Linked DNA regions of Schizosaccharomyces pombe. The gene in region 2 interacts genetically with the main gene of each other region. Each region holds a gene or a part of one and is shown on either strand. Other genes may lie near its edges. The genes, in order: vph2, ufd2 and cdc48.

Region 1 (9,059 bases), on a different chromosome or scaffold from region 2:
TACAGACTATTACGCGTAAACGCACCTACACACTAGTTTTATTGAATGTGTGCAAAAATGATGTTTTATTGTGATGAAACGATTTATAGTTAGCAAAAACAACAAGCTTAAACAGACACTGTAACACTGTAGCGAATACGAAAGTTTAAGCATGCGTTGAGATTATTAAAGATGCAAAAGATAGATTTCCATAAAATTATTTTTTTAACTAAATGAATAGAACGATAGCAATGAATGCTGCAACGCCAAGGATAGATACACGAACAGCATTAGCAGAACTTTCAATACTGCTTGAGGAAGACGAGCTAGAACTACTACTGTATGCCGTGGAAGTGACCGCTACACTACTAGTAGATGTCGACGATCCACTCGTGTGCACACTTTGAGAAGTAGAAGTGATGGTATGGCTAGAGCCGCTAGAAGAAGTCGAACCGGACCTGGAGCTTGAACTTGAACTAGAGCCGGACCTGGAGCTAGAGCTAGAGCTAGACTTGGAGCTTGATGTGGCAGATGATGTATGCACAGATGAAAGCGAAGCACTCATCGAAGTAGAAGGATAGCTCGCCGAGGCAGAAGAATAACTTGTGGCCGTTCCTAGGAAGTTTCCAAAGGAAGTCAAACTAGCCTCAGGATAATAGACCTGAGGTAGACCGCTTACAACAGTAACGTGCAATGCTCCACTTGAGCCAACGGTCGTAGTAGTATTGCTCAAAACCTCGCGCAAAACAGTACCATCATCAAAATTAGAGGAGACATCATAAGTAACGTTGTCAGAACTTGACTCGTAGTTTGTGTAAACTCCCAAAACATCACCTTTTCTTACCACAGCATGGCGCAGATCGTAGTCCAAATAAGAGTGAGAATCTGTGGTCCAAGAATCACTGTCACTTATAGCTTGTTTTCGTAGAGCAATAGCAGTGCGAATGGTTTGGTAATAATTTGCATCAGTGTCATAGCCGTAATTCCACAAGGCGGCACGGTTTTCCGGGGTATCAGAGCCACCAGGCAAGCGTTGTTCTTCTCCATAATAAATAATGGGAATGCCAGTATGCAGAAGGAGGAAAACAATGGCGCCAATATCTTGTGAGGTATCATTGGTAATAGAGGTGTAACGGGGAAGGTCATGGTTCTCCAAAAAGTTTCCGATAACCGACATATCTTGTCCCTCACAAGCTTGCTGGAATTGCGTATCAATCTCCTGAAGATATTCAAATGCAGCACCAGTATAATTAAATGCAAATTCAATTCCTTGACGAATGGGATAGCTGGTAATGCTGTCGAGATAATTACGCACTGAACAAGAGACATTGGGATCGTAACTAAACATTTCGCCAATAGCAAAAACACCAGCAGCAGAAGTGTAGTTGGGGAAAAATTCGGGATTCATTTGTTTAACTGCATCGATACGAATTCCATCAATCTGATAACGCTCGACCATATCGTGAATATGTTCATGCAAATAATCAGCAACATTCGTGGACTCAATGTCTAAATCGGCAAGGATGACATTGTCATCACCAGTCCAACAATCCTCAATATCTGTATTATTGTTACTGCCATAGTCAATCCAACAGTAAGGATGGAAGTAGGATGAGTCATTAAAAGGCACAAGATTCGAGTAGCTGATGTTATCGGTGGGTCCTGGAATGGCCATTGAGTTGGCCAACGCGTCAAACATGATCCACATGTCACGATTGTGCATATCAGTGATTAAATCGATGAGATCATCCTCCGAACCAAAATGCTCGTTTAATTGAGTGAAATCGGTATTCCAATAACCATGGTAAGCTTCACCATCACTACCGTAAGAACCCTCAAGATTCTTTTCGACAGGAGAGATCCAGATGGCGTTGAATCCCATTCCTTGGATGTAGTCGAGTTTAGAACGAATACCGCTCCATGTACCACCGCAATAAGAACTATCATCGAAGGAGCAATCGGGTGTATTATCAGAGTCAACGGCAAATCTGTCAGTTATGACCTGGTAAATGATACGGTCGCGCCATTCCTCACTGCTTTTAGCAAGAGAGGTAGGAAGGCCGAAGAGCGCGAATAAAGAAAAAAGTGCTATTTTAGAAAACCCCATACTTCTGCTAATTTTTCTGGAAGTGATTGAAATAGAGAGAGAGAAAGGGAGAATTCAAATTAAAAAAGAATAATCTGAAAAAAAAAAGAAACCAAAAAATAGATGGCACTTTGAGAGATAACTTTTAGGCTATATATGCGATGAAAAATGCAAAAGGGAATGTTTTGTAGAAATGACGGCTCAACAAACAAAAAAAACAAAAAACAAAAGAAGGCAACAAGGAAAGGCTCGTGTCGAAGAGGAAAATATGGGAAACAAAATCAAACGCCGGGCGATATATTCTCGGTTTGGCAAGTGGGAATGTAAATGCAAAAAAAAAAACGATTAAAAAAAGAAAAGGAAAAGTTAATCAATATGGTATGCGATGAGGAAATTATTTGACAAGTTGATTGAGCACACTCATACAAAACCAAAAAATGGGGAAACCAAGAAAAATAGAAATGAAATGCAAAATCAAAAAGACCAAAAATTTGGCACGCAAAAGAAACCAAAAAAACGAAACAAAAAAGATAGAAAAAGAAAAGTTATGAAGAACGGGTATCAAACCCTTTAGATATAGCCTACTAAAGGGAGGATATTAGAAAAATATGCAAAATGTTAGATGTGTAGAGGTTCAGTAGTGTAGCGAGGATCTTTTATTTATATGACTGCGAGCACGAATGTAAACAAATATCGCCATGGCAGCTAGGTAACAACCACGAGGCCGATCGCTGCTTCGGCGGATTTAGGCTGACGTAAGATGAGACTGTTTGTTACCGATAGCCCTTTTTCCAGATGCGCTCGCATTGGTTCTCAAGTGGGGCTTTGAATAAGCCACGTTTGGCGGCTGTAAATACACATAAAAAGGTGTAAGAACAAGCGTTAAACTTGTTTACCGATTATTAATAATAGGTCGATAAACAAAGATTTTAACTTTAGGAACGAGGACATGGGAAAGGGAAGAAGAGATGAGGAAACATTGCGATGTTCAGGAAAGGAAGATGAGGTCACTAGTAAATAAACAATAGAACAAGAATAATAAATAAATAAATATATGATTACAAAGTAATCACAAGCGCGGACTTGGTGAGTACAAAGCAAATTGTCATTCTATTCTATTTTGGCCTATAAATTCAAAAAAACAATATCTAGGTAGGATGTTTGAGCGTCGTATGAAACATTGCTGCAAAAACTTGATATGCTGAATAACGATATTTATGAGGCGCACAGACGATCCTCTTTCATAGCCACCTACGTGTGCAAGAGAAAAGGTTGTGGGCAGTGTGCACTAGGCGAAATATGCAAAACTTGGATTTTCATCATACATAGTACAATGTAAGAGAGATTGTAAAGCATGTTTGAGAACTCATTATGCCAAAAAACTAGTGTAACCAAGTATTGATTAGAAGGAACTGAGCAGGATGTTTAAGTTAAAAGAATCATAGTATTTGTAGGGGCTGGTGTACTGCAAGGAACCAATCTGCTATCTCACATAGCTTGTCTTTCAACATCGCCATTGTCAAGTTTCCTTCTTCATCCGTTGAATAACGCTTTATGCCCTATTCTCATTAAACGATTTACGATACATTTTTTCCATGCATACACTGGTTATCATAGACAGACGGATAGTAGCCAAAATGATCGACCCGAACAGTCATGAGTCTTTCCGTCCCGAACAGTCTGTAAATCTTCAAGTACTGAAGCGCATCCATATCTTGAGCAAACGCTTACTGCCAACGGACAAATAGACAGGTGATCTTGCCGGCTGGCCCTGAAAAAAAGCATAAAATATTCGACCGCTCAAATGGGCTTATCTGCCAAACACACTTTGCAAGACATTTCTATTCGATACTTATCATCATATCCTATCATAATTCTATTCTCCTTCTACCATCATGTCTACCGGTTTCTACGTTTGCATTTATCTTTGCGTTTTTGTACTTGCCATAACTGAATTGTACTATTTGCTCTCGCTGATTATTTCCTATTTATACAAGTAATTAATAATTTAAAAAAGAACAAATAAATAAACTGCCCACACCAGGAATCGAACCTGGGTCGCATCGGCCACAACGATGAGTCTTAACCACTGGACCATGTGAGCTAGTACAGTAGCCGTACAACTAATGACTGATATATGGTAAAATACTCCGCACTACGGAAAGCTTAATTAGGGAAGCACCGTGGATATCCTATTTTGGGAATTCTTATCCATTCTATACGATGATGAAAATTATCGGATATCATCAACTTAAAAAAATTGATCTCATATAAAATAAACGAGTCATGCTATTCTATTGAAATTCCACTTTCTTCCTTTACTCACACCAAAATATTTGAAAACAACAAAGAATTTCTCTTTGTTTTCTCGTTCCTTCTATACCTTATTCCACAGGCCAGTTTTCGTAGTAGAGCAGGTTTTTGAATGGATCCATTGAGTCTATATTATGGAGCAACAAAGTAATTTAGAAAAAGACCTCTCGGTCTCATCCTTTCTTGATGAAAAGGAAAAGTCGGGATACAAGCAATCTGTAAGATTAGTTTCCAATGACCCTTCTGCCTCACCGGCTGCTACGCATAAACCACCGTTCATCAGTGCGGCTTTGATGCTGTTAAATAACACAATTCTTTGCATTTCATTCACCATTGTCGTTCCTACGTCCGAGAGATTTGTCCAACATCTGGGGGGAGGAAATGGTTTGTCCGGTGTAATTATCGGATTGCCCACAATCACTGCCCTTGTGTTGCTGTATCCCATGTTGAGATTCTCGACTCCGAAAGCTGCCAAGGGATATACGATTTATAGAAGACCATATACAATGTCGTGTATAAGCTGCATTATTGGTCATATCATGTATGCACTCGCAGATAAAGCCAAAAGTGTGGCCTTGATTCTTGTGAGTCGTATTTTTACGGGTGTTGCGTGTACCATGTTTTTATACCACAAGCGCTATTTCACAGATAAAGCCTTGATCAGCATCAAATATAGAACGTCGATGGGTGTGGTCAACTCAGTCATGGCAACGCTTGGTTTGACAGCTGGTCCATTCATCGGAGGATTAATGGCCAAGTCTTCAATGAAGTCTCAAAGCGATATCTGGAATGAATATACTTCGGGTAACTGGCTAATGGCTTTCATTTGGGTAGGCTTGTTTTTGTTTGGCTTTGCTTGTTTCCGGGAGGTTTTGAGCCCGCAAACGGACGTAAAGGAAGAAGTAGTCGAAGAGAAGCATGTCATTAATGATGTCAAACAGGATACCAATTCAAAACTAGGATTTGTGGGGTGTCTTGTTATTTTCGTTGTCGCTTTCTCTGGCTTCTCTGCTTACTTTCTATTAAATGCATACCAAGCATCTGTTCCAATTTACACTTCTATGCTTTATAATTATTCATCCTTCCAAGCAGGTAACTTCCTTTCTTTGGCTGGAATTATCAACGTACCCTTGCTTTTAATATTTTCCTATTTGACGCGTTACTTGACTGACAGAGATATCATATTGTTGGGTTGTTGTTTAAACATCGTATGCATGGTTATTCATATAACTATTCACTATACAGGCAAGGAATTCGTACAACCTTACTTTATTATTTACACCCTTGTTTTTTTTGGATCTTCTATTGCTAATTCCCCTTCGGTCTCTTTATTGACAAAGGTTTTACATCCTAAGTACCACCTGATAGGTAACGTCGCTGTGCAAATATCAATTTCCTTATCCGACACAGTTGGTGCTATCTTTGGCGGTGCATTTCGCTCGTTCTCACCTGTTGTTTTTTTTGCGGTATGCTTAATATTAAACGTTATGTCTGTGCTTGCACTATTGATTATATGGAAGAAACTTAAGGTCAAGTTGCGCCTTGCATAATTCACTGGTAACTCAATGGTTAGGTTGCTCTCTATTTTTTTTTTTTTTTTTAATTTTTTTACAAGGGGGGGTTGATTTGTTGTTTATTTATAAATTTGTAAGTTGTGTTCCTTACAAATAAATCTAATACCAAATGGCTAATTAAATTGAAATAATGTTGCTAAATCTTTAATTATAATGAAATTAATTGATGAAATATACGTTAAAAGCCAAATGAGTTCGAATTTTTTATCTTAAATACTTTTTATTTTTTATCTATAGTGTGCCCATAGGTGCCTGCCCTTCAATTAACACATAGAGAGGTATGCCATTATGATCAATTAGACAAACAACCTATAAAAATCATCTACAGGAAAACATCAAAGGTACTTTCGTTAATAAAACATCTAAAAATTAAGAATATAATTATTGGTTCTTTTTTTCCTTCAAAGATGGAATGGCTCCCAGTTCTATAGCTAGCTGCTCATTTGACTGTAGAACAGGGTCATTTGTTGTCCATGTATATATTATTTGTCGAGTATGATTCTTTGAAGTTCGTACGGGTTGTGCAGATAGATAGCGGACATAAAGAAACGTATCTGCTACTAGAACCAAGATTGCTGAAAACGCACATAGCGCAATTTTCTAAATAATATTAAGTCAATACAAAGGTCTCCCAGGAACAAAACGAAAGTTTTTAATTCATACCTTTTCAATAGATAAAGATGAAGTGCAGTACCAAACAGCGGTCACCGTTCCTACTACTGTGAAGAGTATATTGATTATAGCGCTGATTTGGTTTTTCATTAGTCGTAACTCTGATTTTTTTTCTCTCTCAGGGTCCATGGATACGCCTGCCATTGATGGAAGCAGAGGAATACCATCATATAGCTCTTTCTCCTTTAAGATAGAAGTAGTTGTATTGTCTTGAGTATGGCTGTTTTCATCAATTTCGCCCAAGAAGACACTGTCGCTCGGCACAATCTGTACACCTCGAAGAAATTCCAAAAAATTGATATTCCTGTTATGTAATCGTAATTCCTTTAACATTTTTACCAGCTCAAATCCATCGACAGTTAATTTATTACACCGTAAGTCTGTCTGCTGTTTTTCGGAGAGCCTGTACAGCATTTTTGCAATAATGAGTCAATTTGACAATTTCGAAGGTATTAAAAAAGTAGAAGGGTAAGTAATAATGCTATGAAGTCTAGAAAGCAATCAAAAACGATTCATATAGTCCGAATTGCGTGAAACAGGATCAATCTAGGTTGGTTGACGATATTTGCTAAATTTCTATTGAGTTTTCTAAATGAAATAATTAAACCAATATTTTAATGTCTAATACTACGTTTTATATTGACCAACAAACAAACATGGAGACAGTGGTACATCCAAGTATTTGCAAAAGTCAAAGTTACGCAACGTAATACATAGCGTCCTATAAGAGGCAAAAAATGAAAATATGAAAGTTCCTCAACTTTTTTTGAAATCACCGTTTTGGTAATTAGCATCATAATTTTATTCTTCACCCTCGCTAACACTGTGCTAGGCCAAGCAGAATTGTAGACTTCCTCGTTCAGTGAGGTATAGAAGAATGGTACACGCTACTGTGATATTATATCTTTCTATGAAGTGACATAAATCTTGGTAACTGAACATTCAGTTTAATTTAGCGCCGCAATTGCTCTCGGGTATTTCATACAAACGATATTCAAAGATTATTTATTGGAATTTCAATATAATATTAAGAAGTAAATGCTACTAGCTTTGTTGGCTCTATGAGTTTTATATAACTTACGCAATTATTACTTGCGTCTATGGTTTCAAAATGTGTCCCAGTATGCTCATTCAGCGCTTGGAAAGCTAAAGGTTCAAGAATTTTTATGACTTTGGGTTGAATACTGAGATACTTCATGTTCAAAAATACCAGCGTTTCAACGGCGTTCAATTCTTCCATGTTGCACCATCCAAAGTACTTTTTTTTGCGAATTTATTTACGACAAACTTGGCTTACGTAAACTTTGGGGTAGCAAAATTCATATCGCCGCAGAACAGTTTGCAAGAACAAATATAAACCTAAAGAGGTACGGGTGAACAAATAGGTATTCGAATTAGGAAATGAAAAGTTCGAAGCTGAAGGAAGCTTAATTACGAAGACAGAATCAAATAAAGATAACTTCCTCCAGTATAGTTTTCATTTTTCCGAACGTCCATATCGTCTTTGCCTCTGCACCATTAAATTCGAATTTTTTCAACGATTTTCAAAGCTCACTATACCATATAACGTAATCTGAAGAAAGAAAGTTCCACTGATGCATGGACGCTATTTAGGTTTTTGCCCTTTATCTTTCATCTGATCTTACAAAGTCGCTTGAACCACGCTATCCTATATACCGAAGCAAAGGCCAACGAAAACAACTACGTTAATACCTGCTATATTGACTAAAAGAATGATATTTCACTTGGCAGCATTCGTTAGCTTTAGCTAGGAAATTTACGATTATTTAAAAAACCCATTCTTGTAATGCTCTTCTCATTTATTAATCTCATCATTTTCACTTCCAAAGATATAACGACTGAGGCGTAAAGCTACGCTACCACTTCCTATCAGTAAATTGTGCGACTTTACTATACGTTCTTCAAACTTCGTTATTTCCCCACCAAAAGACTTACTTGCAGAAAATTTTCTCTTTGTCACTGCTACACCCCGTTTACCACTACTCCGTTCTCCTTGGTCGTTTACTTCATTTTTGTCGAAGTAATCACAGCTATTGATTGCAATTTCAATTTATAAGAAACTGCAATAAGAGCTTAGAAGGAGCCTAATCCGTTTTCCTTTTTTTTTTTAATCTCCGCTAAATCCCTGCAGGTTTGAACTAATCAGTTTTCAGGAAGTAATTTAGAAAAGGTTCTACTCTCCTCCTAGAAACGCATATGTGTCCTATTCAATTAACCAATACTATTCCAGTGACATCTATGGCTTACAATCACTTCAGCATTCCTAAAAACATCGAGGAAAAAGAGAACTCTTTTTTTGACGTAACGTTTCAAGACGAACCCGACGAAACCACTTCTACTGCTACTGGCATTGCTAAAGTTTCCATACCTACTCCAAAGCCCTCTACACCTCTATCGACTCTTACTAACGGTTC
Region 2 (11,324 bases):
AAAAAAAAGCAAGAAATTGGTAATAGTGAATAAGTAAAACATGTTGGAACTTACCTTTGAAGTATATTAGGAGGAAGATAATCAAACTTTGGTTTCTCAAGAGAACTAGTGTTTGGATTGCCAAAATCAGTACAAACCATATATACGGTGTATGCAATATACAAAAACTAAATATGTTAAAATCAGAAATAAGGAAATAACAATTACCATTAGCGATGCTTCAGATAAATTTGCACGTCCAGAAGCAACACCATAAATAGAAATTACAATCACAGTTGCAAGGGAAAATCCGATCATTAATGCATTAGGATTGGAGATAGAAAAAGAAGATACACGATAGAGGAGATAGAGGCTCATTGATATGGCACTACTAGCATTAAGCAAAATAAAGAACTGCGTTTAAGTTAACAAACGTAGGCATAAATAAAAGTATAAAATATACGTACCATCCAGTTTTCGGACTTATTATGGACCAACCAACGGCTTAGATGGCCAAGAGCTTGTACAACTAAAAGCGACGCCATTCCTTCTAGCAAATTAAATAGGGGAGTAAAGTGTAGTAGAGCAGTGTTCCAAGCAGAAGCAAGAAAAGAGGCATATTTATTCTGCTCTATGCTTGGTGATGCATTAAGGGCTATTATTAATAGAATAAAAACTAAAAGAGGTTCAAAGAAATGTAATGTTAAAGCAATTTTTCGAAGCCCAAACAGCTTCAACAAAGCAGTAGAGAAAAAGTATACTTCTAGTGCAAGTGTAAGTATCTATTTTAAATTTATGTTAGTTTATTTTTTAAGAAAGAGAAAGAAAGAAATGTTGAAATAACTTCATTCCTAAACTTACCAAACCGCAAAACCGACCGCCAATCTCAAAGGCGATTCCTACTAAAACTATTATGACTAAAAAAAACCCCAGGGAAAGGAAATTCCCAAACATTGCTAGCATGTTGCGGAAATGTGTTGATATATTTGCTTTAGGTTTTCCCTGAATCTCTGGTGCTTCATCATCAATAATTTCCAATATAGAATCATCCATTGCTTCAAAACTCGTGTCCTCCACTGTCGAAACCGAAATATCATAATTATTCGACCTAATTTCCTGGTCCATTGCCAAAAATTATTAAAAATTGGTCAAATTCGTAAATGCAAGACGTTGATTTTTCAATTTTTGTACAATTACTATCTTTTTAACACAGTAGAACCCAAACTGAAAACTACTTCACTCTATTTTTTCTTCTATAATTTTAAATCCTTCACAGGTAAACTATAAACACTAATTTTTACATTCAGTGCTGTTTTAATCGTTCATGAAGTAGCACTGATCCCGTAGCTAAGGAGTTTTGCTAAATAATTTTATATGAATTTTGAACGGCTGAGGCAATGAAACTTATCAAGCTTCTTTCATATTCCTTATTAATCGTTAATAGATATACGACAATATAACGCAATACGTGGTTTGTATGTATCTTGGAAGAGGGGGAGCATGCTCGTAACCACACCAAAGCCTATTGTTTACGTTTTAAAATTCGAAAGTATACTAGCAATTTACTATAAAATATTGTATAGATAAAAGCCAAAGGATTTTTTAAACATAATAAAAAGCTATAACTACTATCTTTTCCATCAGGTCGGTTTTACTGGGCTGCTCCACTTGTGTGTTTGCATAAATTTATAAAAGGAAAGTTGAAATTTAGTTCAATTGAATAGATTTTAACAATTCTTTTTACAATTAAATTACTCTAAGACGCCGCTTATATTTTCTTTTTGCTTTGCCCCCTATTTATTCGTTGCTTGAGTTATCAGTCGCCTTATATTTACATTGGTAGTTGAGATCGATTTTTTCAAAGCGGGCAATTCCTTGCGTTCACGAACCAATTATTGATATACTTGCAACAATTTTTTATTTTAAAAGAAATTTTTTATTCGACATTATGACTACTGAGCTCCGTCGTAAATTGGTTATTGTTGGCGATGGTGCTTGTGGTAAAACATGCTTGTTGATGTACGTTTGCCCTTTTAGAAATTCTATTCATTGTTATCGAGCTTTTCAAATGTGAATTTGATTTATCTAAACAACAATTGTGTTTTTAAAGCGATTAATCTACTAACAATTATTTTAGTGTTTTTTCCAAAGGAACTTTTCCTGAAGTTTACGTCCCTACTGTTTTCGAAAATTATGTTGCCGATGTCGAGGTTGATGGAAGGCATATTGAATTGGCACTATGGGATACAGCTGGTCAGGAGGATTACGATCGTTTACGCCCTCTTTCCTATCCAGACTCTCACGTCGTTTTGATTTGTTTTTCAGTTGATGCTCCAGAGAGTTTGGACAATGTTCAAGAAAAATGGATTTCTGAAGTTCTTCACTTCTGCTCCAATTTACCCATTTTGCTAGTTGGGTGTAAAGTGGATTTACGAAACGATCCAAAAACAATCGAAGAGCTCTCCAAAACCTCACAGAAGCCTATCACATTTGAAGAAGGACAGGTAGTAGCTCAAAAGATTGGCGCCTATAAGTATCTCGAATGTTCAGCGAAATTGAACGAAGGGGTCAATGAGGTTTTTGAGACTGCAGCTCGTGCTTCCATGCTTAAATTTAAGCCTGCTAGTGTACCGAAGACAAAAAAGAAGAAGCACTGTATCTTACTCTGATGAAATGCAATCTCTGTTATGGTGTATAAGAGCGTTCTATTAATTACATTCTGTATTGTTAGATTCACTATATTCATTTATCCTCTTGTGCAAAGGAATTATTTTACGAGCTTAACCTTTGTGGTACCGTACACCAAGTTTTTTATCCTTCGAATCATTACCTAATGAGTTTCCATGAATGTTTAAATATTTCATAGTAATTAATTGTCTAATCTTTTATTTAAACTTATCGAAGCCTTTCATTAAAAAACTAGTATAAACACAGTTATATTCATTCACTATTTCGCGAATGTTTGTTGCGTTTTGATTTCAGGAACGTGTTAATTTCCTCACGTAATGTATCATCTAAAGAATTAGTAACTAACAGTGGAAAAAAAAAACTTACTCGGTGTCACATCATCAAGCGTTAATGGAGTTCGATTAAATGGGTCGGTGGCATCACTTAGTAGATGTGCTTTAATAGTAGACCTATCAATCGAAATGCCAGATCTCGGTAAAACAACAGGATCTTTCATTATTGTAAACATAAGAGGATCTAAGAAGTAGTCAGGAATATCACCCATGTCTTCCTCTTCAGTAGCCTCTTGCAATCTGAATGCCTCTACCCTATTCACAAATTCTTTAATAGCTTCTATATCAAAAGATGACTTGAGGTTGTGCTTAGTCATAATGCTAGTCGCACGTTCAAATATTTCTTTACTATAAGAACGGCCATCGTGAGCAACAGCTTCGACAAATGCAGGTTCATTGCACAGGTTAAGATAAACATCGAAAATAATCGACAAAAGGGTTTTTGCATTAAAATGATATTTCGTTGGGTCCTCTACCTTGAGGTTACTACACTTAGGGCCACATAAAGCTTGAAGGTTATAGTTTAGCATAGCTGCCAACCGATCTACAATTTCAACGGCACAAAAGGCTTTAGGAATTGAGGAAGTGAACAATTTGAGCATAAAAATAGTTTCATTCCCTAACTGGCAATAAGTAGAAGCTTGACGTTCTGCGGCCGCTAAGTTGCTTTGCGATTCTTGAACATTCTGGTTAGAGTTGCTATTGCTTATTGCATCTGCCAAAAGGCTCTGAAGGTTGTGAATCTCGGTTAGTTTTAAAAGAGCCTCATCAAGAAGATATGTAGCATCATTAAGCATGAGAGCTACAAATTTAACAAAAAACGGCAAATTTGTTTTTTGCTCCTGCTCCAGCTTACCAAAATAGGCTGGTTGCTTCCAAATAGTTCTAAATACTTCGCATATATAGAAACGAATGTTGAATTTATCATAAAATTGGGTAGATTGTCCTGTAGATTCAATCTCAATATAAAACGCCATAAGTGCTGGAAGTAACCACCTTGTTGCAACCTTCGACGTACGTACAACATCTAACAACAATTCTGATCTTCCCACGTGCGTTTGCACTCCAAAGTATAAAATCTCGGCAAGTTTCGCTCGCAAATAAGGATTTTTGATATAATTAGCTTGAGTTAGAAACGACACACAAAATTCACACAAAGGCTCTAAGGAATGCAGCGTCAAAGTACTCGACGAGGTTTTAAATAAAGACAACATATAATCTGTAATGGTTTCAATAAAATATTCAGGTAAACATTTGAAAGCTTCCGGTGCATTTTCATTAAACGGTAACGATAGCGGCATTTTTGGATATGTCGAAGATTGACCATCAGCTAACCTCGATAACCAAATGGCAACGAAATTAAGAAAAGAAAATGATCTTGAAGTATCAGATGTCTGCGTAAGCATAATCTCATAACAGTGCACAAACGATCTATCTAAATCCAATCTTTGATCAAGCCGACTTAATTGAGCAGTGAGACGTGTCGCTTGAAAACTACCGCTCATATTTTGCTGTTCAGTCTCTAATCTTTCTTTCAGTTTCTCGCTATCACGAATTGATTGCACAAGTTGCTCTAAAGCCTTAAAGGTAGCATTTACACCATAATGATGAAATGCGAGATTTAAAAAAAATATGTCTGAAATAAAGTTATTGGAACCCTCGGCTGGTTTTGAATAAAACGATTCCGAAGCCTTTTGATCAGCATTCAATTTAGTCTCTTCTTTGATATCAACGCGAGGGTTTCTCCTAAAATATTCAACTTGTACTCTGTCAATTTTCGAACATCCTATGTCAAGAAATGGTTCAGAAAGTCTGCTTAACACATGTGAAAAATTTAGCATGCAGGCGTCAGATGTAATATCAAAATGATTAACTTGAATGGATTGTCGCTTGTGATTGGCATTTACCACCATGGCAAAGAAATCCAACACAGACTCTCTCAAAGATGTAGATGTTCGAATGAGGGTATTGAAAATTTGAAAAAGGACATCCTGATAAGTAGACATAGTCAATTTTAAAGAACTTATTGACGAAGATATATTTTGGGCTGATCTCTCAGTAGAATTGGAAAAATATCGAGAAGCGACATCTTGAGTAAACACTGACAAGCTTGATATTCTTCCAAGAAACGTTTTGTACTCAATTTCTCCAGCATTATTCGTAGGATTCCAAGAAGGCAACTTCGGCAAAAGTAATGCAATTGGTTTTAATGACACAAGTTGTAATATAATCTAAAAATATCAGTTTATGCTAAAAGATAAAAATTGATGTTCATACCTGCATCACATTCATTTGAACAGTATCTACATTCATAAGACCAATTTTCAAAGATAAAGATTCCAACACAGGAATAAACAATTCATCTAAGTTTTCGTGTTCAAACCTCTGAACAAATTCTGATAGAAATTCCAAAGGTATACCTTCTGCACCAATTAAAACCTCGGCCAAATCAATTGTCTCCGAATTGAATGTGTCAGGAAGCATTACTACAATACCGGCATAACTGACAAGCAAACTTTTTAACAGAGATAAATAGTGAATTTTAAAGTCCTGGTTTTCATCCTTCGGAAGTCTCTTTTTATACTGATACAGAAAACTCCAAGACTGTAACAAATAAGAGAAAGTATTGTTGCCAGTTGTTGACAGTCGAGAGAGTAACGCAGAGTCAACATTATTCTCATTAAATAATAAAGGGGATCCCTCTTCTTCTAAATCTTTTTTAAAACCTTCTAAATAGTATTTTGATGAATCAGTTTCACTTAATGTAATATTAAGAGCCTGACATGTTATAAAATGCATCCATTCATCCTTAGAAAACAAGCGATGTTTTGGAGCACCAGATGTAACAGGTGGAGATATTTCTTTTTGTTCTGAATTTGATGTTGTAGCCTTTGAACCAATAAATCTCTTTTTTAAATCAGGTTTTTTAGGTTCAGGTGCAATATTGCTTTCCTTAGGTTCTTTAGAAGAATTTGCCTCCGAATTGGTCTGCTGCAATTTAGCAAGCCTTTTAAGACGAATCTATGGGCCAATATTAGCAATTAGCTGAAATTTTTCTCTTACCTTTTCCAAATCACTCATAATGGGGTGGATTGAGCAAGTTGGTGGAAGTGAGGTCAACATATGTTTTAACTACCAAAACTTACTATGCTAAACCGGTAACATGAAATTGTATTAACATATATTATTTTTCTCGTTTATAGTATTTATCCAGCCAAAAACTTTCTATTTTAGAAATATTCTTCACGAATATTTGAGTTTCTGATTCGACAGCTAAAACGTTAAAATAGTCTTATAACAAATAGGCTTACCTGAAGAATACATGATCCATGGTGTTTTTTTTTCATGAAGTACACTACTAGAGTCTAACCAAACCTGCTTTCCTCCTATTGTTTTGTAAGAGCCGTCATTCTGTAAATGTGCGACGTTACGCACAAAACCATCAAGTAGGCATTTCAAAATTTTGGAACAATCACTGGATGGTAATCTTTGAGCAGTAGGTATAGAAAATTTATTTAAAAAACGAACCAAATGAGTGCGAATGTCAAGGGCTTGGCGCAAAGTTTGATAGTTCAAATAATTTTTCCTGCACCATTGTAAATCTTTTTTGTTACCGACAAAAGATTCAAAAACTAAATGTTAATACACTTTTAAACTTTATTAATGAAGCATACCATTTAATGCGGTAATGATGTCCCCTTCATTTGCAAAAAAAGAAGAATGGGCAACGAAGGCATCATTCTTTGATGAACTTGTGGGATTATAAAATACTTCGCCTGCTGTAAGTATTGAAGCAATTGAAAGAATTTCATGAGTGCAACCAAATTGGTTGGAAGTAAGTAACTAATGATGGGTTAGCGTGTACTTTATTTCCTATATGGGAGTACGTACAGCTTTGGAGATGTTTGCATCCAAGAATGAGTTGGAAATTTGTATGCCAAGTGGGTCTGTCAAATTTCCACTTTCGTCCAAGACACCTAAAAGATAGAGGTCCTTCAAAAAAATTAGTTGTTTGCCGGCTATAATAAAATTCACAAACCTCTAGAGCCGCCATAAGGTGAACTGTGGGAGGACGGACAAAAAAGGGAAACTGAAGTATGTTTTTTAGCCCTAAACCTTTCAAAAATAACACCAACGGTGACATATCGCAATTTAAGATGTCTGCTTCAAATTCTTCTTTCATCAAGCTGTAAGCTTTTTCAGTATATAGACGGAACACCTTTCCCCTCATTGTCCTTCCAGCTCTTCCACTTCTCTGTATAGCACTTGACTTAGATATAGGCACGTTAATCAATTTTGAAGTCCTTGTATACGGGTTGTATATCCGTTGTTTATTAAAACCTGAATCAACGACATAAACTATGCCATCAATAGTAATACTAGTCTCAGCAATATTCGTAGAAAATATAACTTTTCTGAAGTCACCATCATATATGTTAAAAACTCGCATTTGCTCGTCAACAGTAAGACCAGCATGTAAAGGTAAAGGAACTAAAGTTTGACAGTCTTCGGAAGCATGAATTAAGGAATCTTCAATCTTTTTTATACAGTATTCTATTTCTTTTCTTCCCGAAAGAAAAACCAATATATCACCAGGCGGATAGGTTGAATTAATGTTTATAACCGTTTCGATTGCAGAATCAACGTAATTTTCTGTAGGTTTCTGCAAAAATAATGTTTCTACGGGGAATAATTTCCCTTCAATTGACATAGTGCATACTTTATCTTGTCCGAAAAACTGAGACAGTTTATTCGCGTCAACAGAAGCGCTGGAGAGCACAAGTCTAAAATCATTCCTCTTTTCTAAAATCCTTGATTTGTCAGCTATGAATAGAAAATTTAAATACCTTTTCAAAACTCCTAGTAGGAGATCTGTCGACAAAGTTCGTTCATGGACTTCGTCGAGAATGACTATTGAATATCTTTCCAGCAAAGGATCAAAAAATATTTCATTCAAAAGGATTCCATCGGTCATATATTTTATTTTTGTTTTTTCAGAAACGTTATGATCAAATTGAATGCTATATCCACACAAACTTCCAGGAGGAGAGTTCAGTTCCAAAGATACTCGTTCAGAGACGCTCTTTGCTACGAGTCTTCTGGGCTTTCAAATAAGTTAGGAGGATGATAAATAAACAAAGTTGTGACTAACCTGTGTACATCCTATAATACCGTTTTGGGACGCCCATCCAGCTTCGTATAAAAATTGAGGGATTTCTTCAAGATTATTTTTAGTTTAATAAACCATCTAATCAAAATACTTACGAGTTGTTTTACCACATCCTGTGTGGCCTAACACTATAGTAATCTGATTTTGCTCTACTGCATATAACAACTGGTTTCCTAAATGTAACGTCAGCAATGTAAGGGTAAAACAGCTACATACTGTATTTGGTGATTGGTAATAGCTTTTTCTGAATATTTAAGGGTGTATTTGTAAGAGTACTAAGCGATTGGGAAATAAACTCATTAGGCATACTCTTGCGTAGAGAGCATCAAGTAAGTGGAAGCACTTTCATGTTACCACAACTAGATTGAACGTATTGTAATATTTATAAAAAACAGTATTAACAAAATTCAAATAAAAAATTATTATTCAAAATAAATATACTACAATAATTATCACGCAATTTGAGTAAAATCTGGGAAACCTCGTAACATTGGTATCTGTTAAAAGAATGGCTGCATGCACGGCCTAACTTAGCAAAATGTTTTTTAATCTTATTTTTACTAAAACACTTAGTCTTGAGAATTTTCACGATTTCCCATAATCGTAACTTCCAACAACCACTGCTTTCTCCTCCAAACATTGATTAAAGATCCGTTTACTTTTATAACTTCGTTTATCCACCAGCACTTATTACCTGGCTGTCCCCATAGCTTCAAAATTTTACTCAAAAATTCTTCGCTTAATGAGGAGCTCTCGACTGTTGTTATGATATACGACATTAAGCTCATTAATTTTGGCTCCTTTACTCTCTTGGCCCATTTATCGTTGTAGCGAAATCCACAATGCTGTAATGCATCAACTAGCGGTCCATCACTCAGCCCTTTTCGGATTTTTTTTTTGTCTGCACTTTCAAAAACGTCGTTGTTCTTGAAAGTTTGCTCTAATAAGTCGCTCCTGATTTTTTGGTCGACGGGCTTTTTATTTTCAGAAAATAAATAGATATTGCAACATTCTGTTAAGAATAAAACGAGGGTAGTATTCGATATAGGATTAAATGCAATTTTTGAGGGATAAGCATTATTACTTTTTTTAAATAATGGTAGATAGGTGTCCAAAATCCATTTACAAATGGAAGGGTCGATTTTGTGGCATTTGAAACATGATGAGACATCACCTCCCTCATGTTTTAAAAGCAGATGAAACCCATTAGGAAATAGAAGTGCCAACACGGTAGTTGGTAATATTGGAAGTTCAACGCGATCAATGACTATTAGTTTGCCCCGGATGTTGAAATGTATTTTTTCTGGAAAAAACTTTAAATTACTTTCCAGTGTATTGGCTAAAGTGTCAACCGTATTGATTCGATCAATTGGAACTGACATTTTTGTGTTCTATTTTTGTAACGATTATGTTATAAAAGAATGTTCATTTTTTATTTACAAGATATCACCAATGCATACTTGGCTTTTGGTAAAAATGTTAGGTGCAAATTTCTAAAGGATCGCCAATAGCGGAAGCTATCGGAAAGGTCTTACAAAATCTTTTACGCGCAATAGTAAAAACAGGTAGAAAAAGCCATTCGTCGGTTAAGAGAGCTCTTTGGGCATTCTTTGTTACGTGTAAAACTTTTTATTGTATTTTTTTCCATTTCAATACCCAACTGGTATATCCAAAATTCAGTCCACTAAAGTATGTCGGATTCTAATAAAAATGCACTACCATCATAGATCAACAAAATATATATTTAATAGTGACAGAGGTAATATAAATATAAAGATAAATAAGTACACTTATATATGTAACAGTTACTCAAAGCATTACTTTTCTTTCTGCGAATGATTGATAAGCGACAGTCGATTAAACAAAGTTAGGGCAATTCATAAACCGGTTTTATTATATTATATATAAAATTTTTACAAAAATGCTAGCACGAATATATCCCAACCGATCCTATGCATATTCGTACGTCAAGCCTTGGAGAATTTGGTGAATAAACAACCCGAAAGATTCTCCCCGAATTATTGGTGGCAGAGTCGGTTTTCTTAATTAATGCTAATCTCGTACTGATGTTATTAGTCCAAACGAGACCAAGAGATGGTATTTTGGGATTTGGATCTGTGTCATCCCATCCCGAAAACCATTGCGATTGATAATCTAAACTAAACAACCCAATAGCATCATAATCTCTAGGAATTCTATCGCTAACTTGGTTAGCTATGACAACAGCAGCTTCATGTTGATGAGCTAAAGTGCGTAGAGTCATAGCTAACTTTCCCAATTGATTTCCACGTTTGGCAATATTATCTAAATCTCTAAAATGACTTTTGGATCGGTTGTAACGGAGCTCAGCTCTGTAGTTGGAGGCGACACTATCCAATATAACCAACCCAATTTTATCCCGATTGAATAAAATCGGCAGTTGATACTGAATGATATGTTCTTGAGATTCCAGATCTGGGCATAATATAGTATACACCCTATCTCCTGGATTTTTTATAATTATGTCTTTCTTATCAGCTTTGGGATACCTTTCTGGTAAATAACGCGCCAGTTCAAATAATCGTTTTGTTTCAAGACCGGACTCTGTAGAAATGAAGACAGCTGCTTTGTTCATTCCTCCTAAACTGAGAGGTAGTTGAACCATTAAACAAAGCTGCATACAAAACTGTGACTTCCCTGAACCGCTTTCACCACATATTTCAGTTAACTGTCCTACTGGTATACCTCCATGTAGAGTTTCATCCAACTTTACATCGCCAGTTGTCAAATATTTCGAAGTGACTTTGGAAGCAGAACATCTTACTGGTTGAAGAAGGAGGGATATCTGCTCAATTAACTGTAATAACTCACTTTGACTACAATGTGTGCGTCTTTCTAGCTCAGTAATATCCAGCGTTAACAAATCAACCGTGCTTACTTCTCCTAAAGCTGTCAGTAATTCCGTCTTTTAAGATCCCGGTACAAAAACCCAATATTTTTTTTTTATGTGCAAGCTTATTGAACTACTAAACGCTTACCTAATTCAAATGCTGAAGCAATTTTCTCATCAAAGTAGAAATTGTCAACATAATTCGAAATATCCATCCATATAGTAGAAAGAAAGAAGATTTTTAATTGTAAATATGATATGTATAGTTTTTACTCATAAAGATAAA
Region 3 (10,661 bases), 820 kb from region 2:
TTTAAAGACTCACTAAAACTCATCCAATCCAATTTATCAATCTCGTACCCTTCAGGAATAGATTCAGGAAGTGTCATATTCATAGCGTAATTTCGTGAAACGGCGTTAGGTGAATACGGCATTCTAGCCAAACTTTCATCGTCTAATTGACCTGAAAGGCTTTCAGGTCTATTAAAGTCATAAAGCTGCGGGTGTTGATAAACAGAAGGCCTCAAATCGCTGGCAATGGTTGCCCTACGATAGTACAAAGGACTGTCGGGTCCATAAGGCACACCGAGACGTTGATCTGACCATTGAGAAGATGTAGGATTTACTGCACCAGATGCAGAGGCATTTACCGTTTCCCTCCCATTACCGGCAGAAACCAGCCTTTGTTGTTGGGCTTGCAACCAACTTGCAGAAAATGAACCTGAGTTGTTCGCAAGCTGCGCTTGTAGTGCGGCATGCAACTTTGGATAACGAAATTTGTCAATGGAATCTGCCTGAGGTAAAGAAATAACAGGTTTAGAAGCTAAATTTGTTGTGCTTACCGAAACATTTGAAAGAGAAGGATTGGGTAAAGCCGTTGTTGAACGACGTCTTCTTCGAGGTTGTGGATTCCTATGGATTTTCTGTTGGTGACGAAGTAGAAGATCACGCCTCGAAAACTGTCGACCACAACCTGTAGGTAAACCATCAATCTCACTACAAGTAAAAGGCTTTTCGTTGGTATGAGATCTGATATGTCGTTTAAGATGCTCCAATCGAGCAAAAGCGCGTGTACATGTTTCACAAACATATTGTTTAACTTTCTGGGGTGGGGCATTAGGGTCCTTTTTAGCAGCGGTAGAAGAAGCCACAGGTTTTGAATTAGAAGTAACAGAGCTGGGTGTATTAGCATTAGAGGTACCAGAATCGGAATTAATAGACATCAAGTTTTCCGAAACTTTTGATTCGGATAAAGTATTAGCTTTCGAGGCTATCGGTGCTAAAGACTCACGCGTCATGATAAAACAAGTTTTCAAATTAAACAATTATTTTCTTATTTTTCAAAAGAAGAATATGTTGTTAAAATAAAAGATATGAAGGGAAATAAAGCTTGAAAGTGATTGCAATCAGGATTCAAAAAGACTAAAAACGAAAACCGCAAAATAATTTTCGAAAATGAAATGCAAGATCCTAAATTAGTTATCAACAAGTCAGAAAAAAGAAATAGCTAAATAAATCAAAATTGACTTGTCAGAGAAATACAGGTAGGCAAAAATAAGCAAGATATAATCTGCCAAATAATTTTACCAAATAACGTTAATAGCAAAGCAACAGAATATGTTAAATATTTCTTAAGGACAACAGGGAGATGAGAAAAGTAGTTGAAGAAGGAAAATATGAGGAGAACTGTTGAGATGCCAAACTTTTTTTTTTTAAAGGGGATAAAAAAAGAGTGTAATCAAACAAAAAGCCACCGCGAAGAACAACAAGGAAAGAAGGTCGGTAAAATAGACAGAGAAAGAATAAAAACAATCGATTGAACCTGCACACAGTAATAGCACAGATAAACAAGAAAAGACACTTGAAAAACTTAATGTACTTCAGAAGAGTCTATTTCAAAAAAAGCCTGGAAAATAAATTTCAAAAAGATAAACGCCATCCACACTTTAAATAGAATTAGACACTAACTAGGAAATAAGAAACGTATTGTCGAAACAATGTACGTCAAGAGGAGAATCGGAAATGTAAGGAAAGGAGAAAGAATTAACAGTCAAATAATAACTGAAACAAGGCACGTGAAGGACAAAAAACGAATCCTATAACATATATACTAAATGTCTGATAGATTGGTTAAGGATGTCAATTTTATACATCCAAACTAAAAAATATAAAATAACAGACAAACGCTTTGCGGTTTTCCTATTTCACAAAGGAAAAACCAAAATTGAATGATAAATGAAGTGTATCCTATGCGAATTGTAAAGAACAAATCAGCTTTTAACACTTAAAAACGAATTTTAGTGCAATAATCTTCAATGATCTGAAACTCTGCAGTGAACTCGTATTTTACAATTCGAATAAATGAAGTTATTGCAACTTAGAAGTAAAAATCTTCTAGTGTAAAAGATTCTCTTTCCTTTCTAAGCTTACTAACTGGTCAAGTGGCGAAAAGCCGGATATCGACGATTAATCGTTTTTGAATGTTTTCACTGACTTCTAGTAAAAACCTTGATACTTTTAATTACTCAAACTTTCTGAATCCGTCAAAACTCTTTCTTAACAAATAATTTCAATCTCACTCATGTATATGGAGGATTGTCAGTTTAATGCATGTCGTTGTCGCGACTAAACAAATTTTATAATAACCTAATATTTCCAGGTAACACAGGTAACGATGCTTAAGGCACCATGTGGAAATTCTGAATCGACATTACATACTTTTGTGGGGGTAGGGTCAAACTACGGTTATCTGCCGAACAACATGTCCATGAGCTCGCAGATATCGTCCACTCGTTGTGGTCGATAGTGGAACATCCCAGTTTTAGCTCTTCCAGTAGATTTAACGGGGCGTTGCCTCCACGAAGAGACTTAACATCGCTAGCACACTACTAGCATAGTAGCAGTTCACCTTGAAAATAACTACACATACAAATATGCTACTATTTCGATAACGACATTTTAGGTTAACACTTGGATCTCCGGGTTGGCTTCTATCTATATGCCGATCGTTATGTGAATCGTGTGAAAATGCACATTTCTACACTTGCAAAAACTGACGAAAAGTTATAACTAAACACAACAGTCAACATAATAGTATGCTGTAGTAAACTAGACTTGGGCGTTCAAGAATTTCTTACTCATAAAAAAAAATTCGTTCTATTCAAAGACTAAATTTAAGAATCCCTACAAACTCATGTTAAGTAGCAGAGAAGTCATTATTATCAATCAATCAATCACCTTTTACAAAAATGACTTCAACAAAAAGGCAAGTCCATGTTCATACATAAATTTTGTTCATCATCGGATATAGAATTCATGCATTAAGGTGGTAGTTTCTATGCATACAAATCATCAGCACCATCATTTCCGAAGCTTGGTCCATTAGTATTACTATCAGCCGAATCAAACTGGAATCCTGTAAGACCACGCGAGGTAAGGAGTTGATGGGCATAAGCTTCATAACGACGGACTTCTGCATCACTGACAGAGCGGCGTGCCATTTTCATGGCCTCCTCCACATGATGACGCTGAACTTGAGACACAGATGCATCTTCGTCCATAACAACATCGTCAGCAGGAGCCTCTCCAGTCTCATTTTCGCGCTTGATGTCTTCTTCAATGCTGTCCTTGATGGCCAATTTAACAGCTCTTTGTACAACAAACTCCAAATCAGCACCTGAGAAGCCATGGGTCGCCTTAGCAACTGCACGCAAGTCAACATCTTCAGCAACAGGCGTATGTCTCAATTGAGTTTGCAAAATGCTGAAGCGAGCTTCTTCATCGGGTAAGGGAACGTAGATTAATTGATCCAAACGACCGGGACGCATCAAGGCAGGATCAATCTGATCGGGACGGTTGGTAGCACCAATAACAAATACATTCTTCTTGCTGTTAACACCATCCATCTCAGTAAGAAGTTGGTTGACAACACGATCACCACCACCAGAGTCACCAGCAGAAGCGCCACGTGCTTTGGCAATAGAATCCAACTCATCTAAGAAAACGACACAAGGAGCTGCAGCACGAGCCTTGTCAAATATATCACGAACGTTTGATTCAGACTCACCAAACCACATGCTAAGCAATTCGGGTCCCTTTACTGAAATAAAGTTGGCAGAACATTCGTTGGCAATGGCTTTCGCCAACAATGTCTTACCTGTACCAGGGGGTCCGAAAAACAAAACACCTTTGCTGGGAGTGACACCAAAACGCAAAAACTTTTCGGCATACATAACAGGCATCTGGACAGTTTCACGTAATTCACGCTTAACTTCTTCCAATCCACCAATGTCTTCCCAACGAACATTGGGAACTTCCACAACGGTTTCACGCAAAGCAGAAGGATTGCTGGAACCAAGGGCAAATCTGAAGTTATCCATTGTAACACCTAGAGAGTCTAAAACCTCGGCATCAATCTCATCTTCATCCAAGTCAATCATATCCATCTTTTCACGAATCTGTTGCATGGCAGCTTCAGAACACAAAGATGCCAAATCAGATCCAACGTAACCATGAGTCTCAGCAGCAATTTGCTCAAGATCAACGTCATCAGCAAGCTTCATGTTCTTTGTGTGAATACGAAGGATCTCTAAGCGGCCGGTGGGATCAGGAATACCAACATCGACTTCACGATCAAAACGACCAAAACGTCTCAATGCCGGATCGATAGAGTTAGGACGATTGGTAGCGGCCATTACTACAACATTACTACGAGCTTTCATACCATCCATTAAAGTCAATAATTGTGAAACAACACGTCGTTCAACTTCACCATTCGTTTTTTCACGCTTGGGAGCAATAGAATCTATCTCATCAATAAAAATAATAGCAGGGGAATTTTTTTCGGCTTCTTCAAACGCCTTCCGCAAATTAGACTCAGATTCGCCTGCCATTTTTGACATAATCTCAGGACCATTAATCAGGAAAAAGAAAGCGCCCGTTTCATTAGCAACTGCGCGAGCCATTAAAGTTTTACCGGTACCTGGAGGACCATACATAAGGATACCACGAGGTGGCTTGATACCTATACTTTTGAATAATTGGGGATGACGGAGGGGAAGCTCGACAAGCTCACGGATTTGAGCCATCTGGCGACGACAACCACCGATATCGTCATAGCCAACTTCTGCCAAGCTACTTTCTTCATCCTCACGATTAATGGGTTCACCTTCCCAATGAATAATTGTATCCTGGCTAACAATGCCAAATTCATCAGGAGCAACATCAACAACTTTAAATTCAACTTGACGCATACTACCCCGTACAACGAAAAGATCGCCCTTTCGAATAGGACGATACGCTTCAACAAAGTACGGCTTAAGGTAAACATCAAAGAGAGAACCAGTAAGACCCTCGACGGTATCAGCCAAGGGTAGTACTGAAATTCGTTCAGCATATTTAATATCTGGACAAGGATTGATCGTTACAATATCGCCTAACCTTACGCGCAAGTTGTTACGAACAACACGATTAATTCTTGCTACGCCATCTTCCATTTCTTCGTCAGTTAAAACAATCAAGACAGTGTCTTTCCGTCTCTTTCCTTTAACGACAACTGTGTCACCACGGAAAAGTTGTAAAGTCTCCATGGTATTGGACGACAATGTGATTACTGAGTTATCATCGTTGGTAGCGTCATCGACCACTAGAGAATTTGGTTTTCTTTTTTTACGAAGAATAGCTGTTGCTGTGTCTTCTGCACTATATGTACTGAGCTTGTTAGCATCGAATTCTAAAAAAAAGTTACTGCTACATCGAAAACATACTCTTTTGGAGGGTTTTCACCCTGAAGGTGTTCCACTTCTGGTTTCTTATCGGTCATGGTGGATGGTGCGTTCATTCGACCATGCACCATGCGCTTATATATGAGCATTCAATTTATAAAGATACATGAAATTATTGCTCAAAAAGGTAAATTATTTCTAAATATTCTTCTAATTGTTTTTTTTCTGTATAATAACATCTGTAAGCAGTTGAGTCTTTCTGCTACATAGCTGCCTCGCAAGGTCGTTACTACCAATTTCCATTATTTTCGCTAGATTGTTTTTATTTAACGCATCTCTAGAAAACACGTATTGTATAAATTGCCAAATTTAATTTATCTATTCTTCTTTTACCAAGGAAACGTCGTTGCTATTAGAATGTTCCAAGAACATCAATAGTAAACAATTTTCTAGTAAAATCTACGAGGAAATTTTAAACTACAGAAATGCAAAAATTCGAACGACCGCCCTATATCTAAATGTGCTTAAAACTTCATTACTAAGCATAAAATAAACATTTTGAGTGTTATCCGTTTTCAATTGAAATGAAACTTGGTTGGCGGTTTAGTAAGCTAAATATTTTAGTTTGAAACCCTTGCAATATTATTTATCATTATAACTATAAACATCAATTTTCTAGAAAGCGTTTTGTAAAAGTGTTTAGCAGTAAGTTAAGGCTAATCAAATATTCTTCTTTTATGGTTATTGATTGTATTGCACAATCAATAATAAAATTAGTTCAATCTTTAATAAGGAATTTAATGTGTTTTAAATATCCATACTTACTGTTCGTTATATGGCTTATGGTGTGGAATCCTTTATGATACACGCTGTCAGGCTCATTGTACAAACTGCTGAATCCCTACCTTAGTGGCCATAAAAATTAATCAATTGTAAAATGGAGGAGGGAATTTTATTAAAAAAATACGTTGAAAGTATGTTAAAAATAAAAAACTAGCTCTAACTGTTGCAGGTAGCGATAAAGACATACGTTACATGGCACTCAGCGATTTAGCTGCCCGACTTAATGATGCAAACCATTTGAAAAATCTCAAATTGGAGAGCTTTCCTGATACACTCGATGTTTTATTACAAGCACTGAGTGATGCTTCGCCAGAGGTTCAACAAGAGGCAGTTCGTTGTGTTGCTATAATTTCTAGCAAAATTCCACAAGATAAGTTAAAATCTACTGTTGAAAATTTGCTTTCTGGAGTTGCTGGGAAGAAATCGAAAAATTACTTGTCTGCTCTCAGTTTGCTTTTGTCCAACTCGAACGTCCAACCTTTCGTAAACAAATTTTATACTTCGACTGTATTCCCTTCATTTTTACAAATTTTAAAACAGTACAACGTTGCTCAAGAGGAATTTTTTGCAATTCTCTGTGTGGTCTGTGATTCTCTAGAAATATACCATTCTAATCTTTCGACTCTTCTACCTAACAATTTTGAATTGTGTATAGACGTATTCCAAAAATGTACGACACAATGCCAAAGAGAATTAATTATTAAAAAGGCTTGCTATCTCCTTTCTGACGTATCACTTTATGGGCCTCGCTTTGCATACAAATATATAATTGAGGTGCTTGATCGAGGTTTGGGACCCTCGACCCAAATGTCCGAGGTAAATATTTCTATTAAATTGCTTAACGAAATACTTCTGTCATCTAAAAAAGAAAAAGATTCATCTACATCATTCATCTCAACAGCAGTTGCTGACTACACCAATAAAATATTATCGTTATTAAAGAAGGAAGAAGCCCCAGATGAGTTAACGCAAAAATTGTTGGAGGTTTTAGGATTGTTATTAGAGTACCAACAAGTGAATATTTTGAAAATTTGGCCAGAATTACATGGTCTCTTAATCTCTAAAATTTCTTATGATCCCAATTTAATATCTGATACTAATGATGAAGATGATATCGCTGACTTTCTCGAAGAAATGAGTGACTATAGCAGCATTTACGAAGATGAAGAAGATGTATCTTGGATTGTTAGAAGAGAATCTTTGAAAGTCGTTTTGTCTGTAATTTTGTCACGTTTAGAGTATTTGCCTATAGTCCTTCAAGCACTAGGGACTTCTGTGGTTAGTAAGTTAAACGATAGAGAGGAATCTGTTTGCTTGATTTCTATCGAAGTATTAAAACAAGCATTCTTGCATGTTCCTCGTTGGATAGAGGTGTATGCAACTTCTAATGATAGAAAGCGTCGTTATGAAGGGTTACCATCGGACCGTTCAGCAATATCGGATACTTCTATTTATTTAGTGTCTGTAATTGGAAAGCATGTCTCTAAGTTATCTGATAAAACTCCACTTTCCATTGTATCTGAATTACTGAACCTAGTTACAGTGATTTTTTCTTCAAGAGATCTTGGTGTTCAGTCCGAATTTTCAAATCTGAGCTCAATTATATACCGTTTTCCTGATTTTTCAACCCTTGATATAAAAATTAAGCTGAATTTAGTTCGCTTAATATCAGCTATCATTTCTTGCGGCTGCGAAGAGATAGAAAACATGGAATCTAAAATGTCAACTATATTAAGTTTAGCGGTACAAAACAACTACCCACAACTTTCATACGAGGCCTTAATTACTGAGCTGTCATTTTGCAAATATATTCATAAAAAGCAACCCACTAACGTCTCAACAGATTTTTCCACAATGATTGATTCTTCACTTCAACTTTTGGAATCTAAAATTTCTGACTTGAAAGTTCGTTTAGCTTTGATAGATCTGGTCTCTCAATACGTAATTCTTTTCTATGAGCCTGATTTTGATTCTATATTCCTGAGACGTGTCTTAATTATTTTATGTAAAAAATTACAGGAAGAGCCCACTAGAAGTGCTGCTGCAAGAGCGTTATGTGATATTTTCATGTCCGTTACAGATATTACTAAGATAGAAAATGGAACAAAAATTTATGAAGAAATACTCCAGGATTGCTGTAGGCATATCGACAAAAGTGGCAATGAATTTACGACTGCTTATTTGGAACTATTAGAAGTGCTCTTGAAAGTTGGACAAAAATATCTCGCTGAAAGCTTGCTTGAACATATCTTAGGTTTACTGATCGAGACTCTTAAAAGAAACACTGAGAATACGGTTGCAATTTTAAAATGTTTGCTAATCATACCTTTGAGTATCCTTTTGAAATCAAAAAATTTACTAATAGACACTATAATTTCTCATCTGCAATCATCAACCATACATTTGAACGAAGAGTCCGTTTGTTTGCTAAGCAGAATTATTGCTGTTATTTCGAAAGAAGAAGATTTGGAGTTGATTATTAATTCTTTCACTTGTGCACAAAAACCTGTTGAAGAAATGGTTACATTGGCATTGATTGCTGCACAACTGATTTGTATTTTTCAATCAAAGGCCATTGTTACGTCTCTGAATAAAAGTTTTATGAGTCCTAAATCAGAAGTACGGATAAAAGTTTTCACAACTTTAATTTTTGGACAGCTTGATTACGGGAAGCTAACACTTCCTGCAAATGAGTACTTTGATACGATTGCAAGTAATTTAAACTCGCCGAATGCAGATGTTATGAAAGCAGCAGCTATTGCCTTAGGGTCGCTTACTAGTCAAAGTGAAAAATTCATAAAAGAATTATGTGCTTTATACGTCTCAGATGCTTATGATAAAGAACTTTTATTAATTTCCTTTTTAACTTTTCTTAAGAAATCAAAAATCGATTATGAAACAGCAGATAAAATATGGGATATCCTTTCTAAGGACATTGAAAACATTAAAGACTTTTCCACTTCTCCCTTCAGAACTCTTTTATCTGAATGTCTTGGTCTTTTAATTTGTAATGAATCTTCTAGCTTATATTATAAGCTAGAACTTTTATCCTCCAGTGAAGCTTCAAATCATATGCTTTTATCTCTTTCGGTGTTTCGTTTTTCGTTGACATTGGACTGTCCTAAACTGAAAGCTTATGAGAAACAATTTTTTGAAAAGGCGTATAAGCTATTTCAAAATCCAGACCTCGAAGTTAGTCAAGAAACGTTGCAGGTCATAATATCTGTGATAAAAAATAGGCGTTCTTGCATTGCAGACGTTTATAATGAACTTTTACAAGGCTTAATTTCCAAATCATCAGTTGATTCTAGTAACGTTCATGTTGTACAAATGGGCCCTTTCCAACATGTGGTTGATAATTCAATAAATCAACGGCAGCTAGTATTTGAAACACTTTATTCCTTACTGGATATCCCTGAATCTTTGAATCATTTAACCCATTTTTTACAGGTTTCTGTCATGGGGTTAGAAGATGAACATTATATTAAGCTAGTATCTTTGTCAATCTTGGAAAAACTTGTCGACTGCAGCCCTTCAATTATAGACGAGCAAGTAGACACTATTTTGGAAGCATTACGAAAAATTATAGAGCTTAGAAAAACTGAAAAGACTTTAAAGACAGATAGCGATAATATCCTTGATTTGGTTCGTTCTGCTTTGAGAGTTTTGTTTACAATGAAGTTGAAGTGCGACAATCCTGTAATTTCTGAATTCGAAAGTCAAGTTCAAAAGGGTCCTTACTCCTTGGAATATGAGGGAATAAAGAACGAAATCAAAACTACAATTAAAACTTGAATTTGAATATAATGTTGGAAATTCCCTTTGAATTTTTACTGGCATTTGATTACCTACAATATTTCAATGTTGAAACCTACAATGCGCTTCTCAACTGATATATTCATTAATTTCAGATGAATCCAGTTGACGCATTAAACAGTAAAAGCTAAGGTGTGCAAAATGAAACAGAAAAATAAATGCTGACCATATTTGTCATATTGTTAATTATGATAATGTTTAGAGGCATTTGGTTGACTTAATATATTAATTATTACTGGCTTGTTCTGGTCGTCAAGCATTTTAAAAATGACACTGCCATGTTAACGTTCAGTCTTAGTGTAACTTCTAATTATCAGTATATGAACAATTTTAGTACCTTTATCATATTATGGCTTCATAAACACCTGGCGGCTCGGTACCACAATCCCTGGTAAGAACCCGAATTCCGTTGCAATGCGAGTAAAACCCAGAAAAAATAGTCCCGAACAAACTTATGAGTACAAGAATTACGAATAATTCCAAGAGCAATTAACAACGCATCTCATTTGGCTCAATAATTAGCACAAACAGTTATGGAATTTTACATTATCGATAGCAAATAATCAAAACTACAATTTACTGTAAACCCAC

What was found.
Region 1: mutations in ufd2 (region 2) and vph2 together harm fitness more than expected from each alone (negative genetic interaction), as found in Schizosaccharomyces pombe (2 studies listed by BioGRID).
Region 3: of ufd2 (region 2) and cdc48, a mutation in one rescues a mutant of the other (synthetic rescue), as found in Schizosaccharomyces pombe (one study listed by BioGRID).

Annotation. Positions count from the first base shown.
Region 1 is NC_003421.2:66,510-75,568, reverse strand, and holds vph2 (V-ATPase assembly protein), read right to left. Parts: upstream 7,318-9,059; 5' UTR 7,039-7,317; coding exon 6,616-7,038; intron 6,553-6,615; coding exon 6,334-6,552; 3' UTR 6,090-6,333; downstream 1-6,089. Other genes in the region: aah1 (GPI-anchored glycosyl hydrolase family 13 protein), read right to left, coding at 209-2,086; SPOM_SPCC757.11C (transporter), read left to right, coding at 4,513-5,928; RNA-binding protein Rnc1, read left to right, coding at 8,884-9,059. UniProt on the Schizosaccharomyces pombe protein: Required for vacuolar ATPase assembly.
Region 2 is NC_003424.3:2,123,219-2,134,542, reverse strand, and holds ufd2 (ubiquitin-protein ligase E4), read right to left. Parts: upstream 6,103-11,324; 5' UTR 6,081-6,102; coding exon 6,063-6,080; exon of another isoform or gene 6,055-6,062; intron 6,021-6,054; coding exon 5,277-6,020; intron 5,231-5,276; coding exon 3,034-5,230; intron 2,994-3,033; coding exon 2,920-2,993; 3' UTR 2,830-2,919; downstream 1-2,829. Other genes in the region: family protein ICE2, read right to left, coding at 55-167, 208-393, 447-761, 841-1,104; Rho family GTPase Rho5, read left to right, coding at 1,928-1,998, 2,117-2,648; gih35 (ATP-dependent RNA helicase), read right to left, coding at 6,184-6,272, 6,311-6,631, 6,674-6,842, 6,891-6,992, 7,039-7,810, 7,847-8,103, 8,152-8,216, 8,265-8,342 and 1 more; whi2 (phosphatase activator), read right to left, coding at 8,739-9,551; rad57 (DNA recombination mediator, RecA family ATPase Rad57/Rhp57), read right to left, coding at 10,094-11,091, 11,187-11,253. UniProt on the Schizosaccharomyces pombe protein: E4 ubiquitin chain-elongation enzyme specifically involved in polyubiquitin chain assembly.
Region 3 is NC_003424.3:1,301,305-1,311,965, reverse strand, and holds cdc48 (AAA family ATPase involved in ubiquitin-mediated protein degradation Cdc48), read right to left. Parts: upstream 5,522-10,661; 5' UTR 5,510-5,521; coding exon 5,454-5,509; intron 5,398-5,453; coding exon 3,024-5,397; 3' UTR 2,700-3,023; downstream 1-2,699. Other genes in the region: DNA-binding transcription factor, glucose starvation sensing, Rst2, read right to left, coding at 1-986; knd1 (cullin-associated NEDD8-dissociated protein 1), read left to right, coding at 6,349-6,385, 6,424-10,049. UniProt on the Schizosaccharomyces pombe protein: ATP-dependent chaperone which probably uses the energy provided by ATP hydrolysis to generate mechanical force to unfold substrate proteins, disassemble protein complexes, and disaggregate protein aggregates.